2 linked regions of the Caenorhabditis elegans genome follow. The protein of the gene in region 1 interacts with the protein of each later gene in a pairwise test. Each region holds a gene or a part of one and is shown in the gene's direction. Other genes may lie near its edges.

The links. The genes of interacting proteins can lie anywhere in the genome.
Region 2: the proteins of F54D10.5 (region 1) and syp-3 interact in a two-hybrid assay, tested with the Caenorhabditis elegans proteins (one large-scale study listed by BioGRID).

What each region holds. Positions count from the first base shown.
Region 1 is NC_003280.10:3,806,628-3,809,934, reverse strand, and holds F54D10.5 (uncharacterized protein), read left to right. Parts: upstream 1-1,757; 5' UTR 1,758-1,764; coding exon 1,765-1,840; intron 1,841-1,895; coding exon 1,896-2,025; intron 2,026-2,076; coding exon 2,077-2,335; intron 2,336-2,380; coding exon 2,381-2,623; 3' UTR 2,624-2,764; downstream 2,765-3,307. Other genes in the region: F54D10.10 (uncharacterized protein), read right to left, coding at 357-695; F54D10.4 (uncharacterized protein), read left to right, coding at 2,882-2,971, 3,026-3,112, 3,172-3,279.
Region 2 is NC_003279.8:8,662,510-8,666,117, reverse strand, and holds syp-3 (Synaptonemal complex protein 3), read left to right. Parts: upstream 1-1,997; 5' UTR 1,998-2,003; coding exon 2,004-2,106; intron 2,107-2,159; coding exon 2,160-2,207; intron 2,208-2,250; coding exon 2,251-2,504; intron 2,505-2,568; coding exon 2,569-2,635; intron 2,636-2,681; coding exon 2,682-2,884; 3' UTR 2,885-3,058; downstream 3,059-3,608. Other genes in the region: F39H2.3 (Aminomethyltransferase folate-binding domain-containing protein), read right to left, coding at 1-51, 167-261, 396-480, 551-708, 751-983, 1,039-1,142; mrt-1 (5' exonuclease Apollo), read right to left, coding at 3,059-3,257, 3,358-3,608. UniProt on the Caenorhabditis elegans protein: Plays a role in early meiotic events; during prophase I contributes to synaptonemal complex (SC) assembly, synapsis and chiasmata formation and stabilization of homologous chromosomes pairing.

The sequences.
Region 1 (3,307 bases):
CCGGCAATTTGCTGGCTTACCGATTTGCCGGAAATTTTAATTCCTGCAATTTGCCAAAAAAATTCAATTCCGGCAATTTGCCGATTTGCCGGAAAAAATCATTTTCCGCCAACCCCTGGTTCAATTGTCATGGGTCTTGTCGCGAGCAAAACGTTTCTAGTTATCGTACCCCTGTATATGGTTATTTCGGCAAATCGGCAATTTTCGGTTTGCCGATTTGCCAAGAAAAAAAACCGTTTGCCGCTCAACCTCTGAGGCAACCGAAAGTTTACAGAAACCATTTATTTCACAAAATTTTCAAATTCGACACAATTTACATACATAAATGAATTTTTTTTAGAAATACAAGGTAAAAATCAATAGAACAAATAACGCAGGAAAACCCCAAGGAACAGAATATTCATCGCACACACGAAATAAATGAGCTTCATCTCATTTGTATTGTACAACTCGATACGATCCTGGTATTCCACCCACTCAGCTCCTGGAGCTTCTTCTACTGGTCCCACTCTGACCATCCTCTGACGAACCGGCAACTGCTGGAATTGCAGCTTTTGGAACAAGTTGAGCATTCTTGTGGTGAGCTCGACGCGTAGTTGACCAACTTTGACAATGAGATTTGAAATCCAATTTTTGTTGAAAATTTGGGCAATTTGGGGGAGACGCTCCATAATTGTCGAGTGCAAATTGCCCATTTTCGAACTAGAAAAAGTAATAATTAGTTGCTCGGAAAAACCAGAAGAAATGTGCTGAGATGCGAAAAAAATGTTCGACTACTGCGGACCGTTGGCCTATGTGCGTATATGGATCAATAACAAGTGTCCCCAGCGCGTTTACAACCGGAGGGTACGGGAAGATGTCACGGCCTGCAGCTGAAGACGGTCCCAAAACCCTAATCTGGAAATTTGTCGGGAAAAAATACTGTCTTTACTCAAAATTTGTGAAAAAAAAGCATTTAAACTTGCCAGGATACAAAAAGTTTCGATTTTTCATTAATTTTTTAATTGTTTGAGAAAAACAGTTTTTTCTATAAAAATTATACCGTAGCAAATTAAAGGCGCATAACCTAAAAATTAAATGCGTACTTTGCATTTTAAATGACGAGCAAAACTAGATTACGGTACGAGCTTCTCAAGCAATTTCAACTATTTGTTTTTGACCTAATTTTTAAATTTGAAGAGAATTAAAATGCTCAGTCTTTTTTTTTAATTTTTAGCGGAATTTTCGAATTTAATCGTCGATTAAAAACAAATTTACACACAACTCTGCGTACAAAACACTATACTCGACGCGCAAAGTTGTTTTTTGTAGCCTTTTCCGTTGCACTTCTGTTTTTTGTGTTTATTTTTCCTGCCATTAGTAGAATTCAAATTTATTTTAAAACAAAATAATTTTTCTCCATCAATCCGACTTCATGTCTTCCACGAGCTCCGACTCGTTGTTTGATTTTTTATTTTTTAGTCAAAGTGGCAGCGTGAGCTTCAATTTATAACTATAATTTATCAAATTTATCGTTTTTACGTTGAAATTTCTAGATTTTCAACTATTTATGTATTTTTTCCATATTGAAAAAACCCTGAAAAAAAAACTCAGTGAAATAGAAACTCCGCGCGCACGTCTTGCAAAAAGCCGTGCGGCACTTTGCGTGTCGATTTACGAAGCCCCGCCCAACACATTTTTAGAGGGAAACTTTTTTTTTCAATGTGTTTTTGACTTTTCAACTCAATTTAACCAAATTTTTCATAATTTTGTTTAAGAATAAACATGAATAATCAAGACCAGCCAGGATCGTCGCACCAGAACGAGGATTCATCGCCCGACGACGATGTTGAGGAGATTCGTAAGTTTTCTGAGTTTTTAAAAAAGTTTTTCCCTTATTACCAACGATTTTTCAGTTCGAAATAATCCGATGCTCAACGTTATCCTTGGCCGCACCCAATTAATGGCAAATGATCAGATTCCCGAAGCGTTCAGACCCGTGCACCCAGGTTTATATTCTGCGGCGCTTGCTCACGAGCAAATCATGTAGGATTTCATTTTCGCGGAGGAAAAGTTGAAAAAATTTTGGTTTTTCAGTGACGTGGTCCGAGCACGAGTCGTCGAACAGCGTGAAATGCAGGGAAGTTCGGATTCTGGAGCACTGGAAAACGATTTAAACCGAACTTTGGAAGTCACTGAGGATGCCGAAGTCATGGAAAATTGGGTTTCAATATACGAACTGCTGAATCCTTCTGAACTTCGAAGCCGAAAAAATGGCCTAACTGAGCCAGTCAACGATATTCTGAAAGCCTTTTTGGAGCTGAACATGGAGAACTTTGCCGAAAAACTGACCCCGGTGAGTCAACACAGACAGTTTACTTTAAAATTCAAATATTTTCAGATTTTCCACGATCTCAAGCTGGACAATCGTATCCTGCATATATTGAAAACGGCTGAGCAATGTTGTCGCCGTGAAGATATCGACAAGAGGTTTATTCCGGAGCACTGCACAATTGCACGCAACTTTTTGAAAGCGACTTTCTACACTGGACCCAAGCGAACCGACAACTTCATCTTCCAGAGCAACCTGTTTTCCACGTCTTGCGGATCGCTTATATCTAAATCTGGCGAACCAATTGTGTAATATTTTTCCCCCACATTGTTTTAATTCCTATTTTTTTCCTTCTGGAATATTCTGATTTGAATCAATTTTTGTAAATAATTTGTTATTTTGCGCACAAATTTGTATTTTTCGTATTCTGATAAAGCCGGTCAAACGAACAAACTTTTCAATTTTTTCGTGTTTCAATCAGAATTTTGCCGAATTTTCATCAATTTCCTTTACTTACTACTTTTGAATAAAATCATTTTTGAAGCAATTCAAACATTTTTCAAGCAGAAAATGACTCTTAAATCCGCGAAAAAGGATCCAACGGAGCAGGAGCCAAAATTCGACGCTGAAAAAAGCATTGAAGAGTCGCTGGAGGCTCTGGTTGGTTTCTTTTTACAGTTTATGTATATCCTGAAAAATTAATATTTAATTCAGATTTCCGCCTTGCCGCCGCTCTCAACAGACGATGTCAGATTTTTTACCGTAAAAAGTGAGCAAATTAAGAAGAGAAAGAAGACGGGTGTAAGCTAAAAAATACTTTAAAAATAAATTAAAATAATAGAAAATGGTTTTTTTTTCAGAAAATCCCGGAAAATTGTGAAAATTTGAAGAATCTTGAGCAGGAATTGACTGAAACAAAGTCAAAACTTGCGAAAAAAGAAATGGAGCATCAAGTTCTCTTGCAAGCGGTATGGGAATCAATGGAAAGTTGATATT
Region 2 (3,608 bases), on another chromosome or scaffold:
TGAAGAAAGTTGAAGAATTCCCAGGCAACGAGTTGTGTCAGAAGAGATAATCTGAAGATTTTTTAATTGAACAGAAACTATTGTTTTTCAATTTTTGACAGTGAATTGACTCCAGATAATTCCAACGTTTAGATGAATTTTTTATCACTATAACTTTTAAACACACCTTTCCGACTTTATTTTTCTTCTCGTCCAGAACTTCTGCTCCAATTTTGACTTGACCTTCACATTCAAATGGTAAGATTCGTCGACGGATAACACCTGTCAAAATTTAATTTTTCAAAATCAAATTGAACTAGTTTTGTGGGTTTTACAAAAATTTAATTGACAAGTTACTAAATAAAAAGGAAAGTGAGATTTCACGTCTCCAAATATCTAAATTTAGTTGAAGTAACCTGTATGAGCAGTTCTTGCAGTTAATTCCTGTCCAACATAACATCCTTTATCAAGTGAAACCATATTGAGCAGATCACCGTTTGCCTTAAAAAATAATATTTGAAAATGAACTTTTAGAAATATTTCATTTAAATTGCTTCTGTTGTATTTTTACCTGAAAAGGAAGCAACTCCGCCAATTCTTGAGATCCTTCTGCAATTCCAGCAGATCGTCGCAAATTTTCATATTTTTCTCGATTTTCGCTAACTTCCGATGAAGACGGATTACCGAAAACGCGAGCTCCAAAACCAGAAAATCGAGGATCGCGGTGAGCTAAAATAAAATGTTATTAAAGTTTTGACGTTCATTTTCTACCTTGTTTGTCCGATACATCTTCTGTGAAAAATATTTGATCGGAAGATTCGGTGATTTCAACTTGTTTCCTCAATCGATATTTCAAGATTTCTTTTGTTAAAATAGTTTTATTTTCTTTAGAACATTCCAAGAACAAATCATCAGTTCCTCGTCTCCATAGAAGAACATCTTCAACAATTCTCCCTTTTGTGTTGAGCAAAAAAGCAGCAAGTCCATTTTGAGTTTGAAGTTTTCTGCAAAATAAGATGTAATCATTTTCGCTGTAATTTTTAGAGTATAAAAACATACGTCACATCATTTGTAATTAAACCTTGAAGAAACGCGTTTGTGTCAGAGCCATGAAGTTTCAAAAGAACTCTATGAGGCAATTTAATTAATCTTTGTGTTGACATCTGTAAAAAAGTTTGATAATCACAAGAAAACATATTAAAATATGTTAGAGTAAATTTCGCAACGGGGATGATCATATGGCCGTGCCGAATAATTTCGTCCGCGGCCGCAAGTAGAGCGAGGAAATTTGAAAAAGAAAACAAGCGCTTGGATTAGCAGCAAACTATTTAGGATGAAGCACCAAGTACGTCGCATTGAAAGCTGGGAATAATTATAATTTGCCTAAGCTTGGGACAAACTACACTCAAAATAAAAAAACTGCGTGGCGTGTACTGCAGAAAACCTCATATTTAGGCCCCGCCTTTTTCTCGTCCACTCACGGAGTGGAGGCAAAAATTTGGGGACCAACCAATATCATGCCGCCGACATCCTACGGGTTCCGCGCGCCGCTATGTTTAACTCGCAGCGGGCGGAGACAGCTCGCCACGCCCACAGCGAGTTAATCCTAGCGGCGCGCGGAACCCGTAGGATGTCGGCGGCCTGATATTGGTTGGTCCCCAAATTTTTGCCTTTTGTCCGTGAGTGGACGAGAAAAAGGCGGGGCCTAAAAATGAGGTTTTCTGCAGTACAGGCCACGCAGTTTTTTTATTTTGAGTGTAGGTTGTTGCTTAAATTTAATAAAATTAATTTGAATTAAAAATTGTCGAAGCGAATACATATTTAAAAAATGAATATTTTGTGTGTTTAATGAGTGAATAAAAATAAAACTGTTCATGAAAACATACGGTTTAAAGGCTCACGTTGTTCTTAAGTCATGTGGGTCTCGCAACGATCGCAAACACGCTACGGTTTTTTGTTAATTTTAAATATTTTTATTTTCTATTGTGAATTGGCCATTTCAATATCTCCAATTTCAGAGATAAATGAATTTCGAAAAGCTTGTCAGTCAGGCAGTAAATGGTGACCGATTCAAAATTTTCTGCGGGCAGCTCACTGAGTTCACCAACTCGCTCGCTGGGGAAAGAGGTATGTTTTGAGGCAAACATCAATGAAATATGAATTTAAAAATACATTTTCAGAGGCCATAGAAAAAGGAATGAGGCAAATCGAAACTCAACAGCTTGAAGGTTTGACAGATTGAAAAAGGCTCAACTTTAAAATTTTCTTCAGCCGAAACTTCATTCACCGAGCGAATTGCTGAAGACAGGGTTAAATGTGCTGCTCAACGAGAAAGTCTAGAAAGACAGCTTCAGGATTTGACAGCAACTGACAATAAACTGTCTGAACAGAAAAGAGACTGGGAAGAGAGACAAGAAAAAGCCTATGATGAACTAATGTCTTATTTGGAAAACGAGGATGTGGACAGTGCGGGTACACAGTTCGGAGATCACTTCAATTCATTAATTAAATCGATGAACAACTTGGTAAGTCTGCTCGATAACTTTATAATTTTTAAAAAGAGTGGGTTTCTGAATGTTATATTTTCAGTCACATGATTCGATGAATGGTCAATTCAATTCACTCAAAAACAATCTGGATGAATTAAACATTGAAAGTAAGTTGAAAAAAAATTTTGATGGTATTATCAACTAAACTTGCAGAGAAACAACTAGAAGTCGCCATCGCTGATCAATCATCGACTATTTCTGAAATGATTCCTTCTCTCCGTCCAACATGTGGAGCGACCTACAAAGAGCGCAACACTCTTCGCATTATTTTCCATTATCAAGTTGCCAAACTGCGCAGTGAGTACCAAAAATGTCGTCTACAAGAAGAAGCTCTGAAAGCCCGACTTTCTACATGAATTAAAAGAATCAGAACAGCCAAAATGTGGGCAACTGTTAATCGAACTGTAATGATATTAAAAATTGAATAATCTTTTTTCAAATCGTTCTGTTATCCTAAACTTTCATCATGTCGAATGCTTATCATGTAATATTTAATTTTATTGCATCAACCGTTGTGAAGTTTTAATAAATTATAGTCCTGGATTTCTCGGCCTTCTTGAATTATTGGCCCGAGCGATAGCTTCCGCAAATGTTTTCGGAGGTCCTTCCGGCCAATTGTCCAAGTCCATATCCATAAAATCGCATGTATTCGTTCGAAATACAACTCCAGGCGGTAGAGGGTCTTCTTGAAGTTGTGAAATGGGTGTTCCTTGGATAGTAGATTGAGTCCTAAAGTAAGATGTTCCTATTAATTAAAATTCACAATTTTGGGAATATGAATAACTTTCCCTTTTTCGAAAGTCGTGCTTCAATAATGAGACTAACTTACTTTTCTACTGTGTGGTCCTCTTCTGATCGTTTTCCTGCATTTTCCAAAGATGCCAGCTCAATGATAGAATACTTTTTAGTACACGGCGTAATCGTTTTAAAGTGAAAATGACTGAGAAATTTAAGAATTTCACTTCTTGAAGAGTGGTCGGAATATGGAATTCTAATGATTCCCTCGTCGTCGTTGACACCATTTCCAAACGTATAATAGAGCATCGATATGTCGATTATCACCGAATTTTGAGATATTTC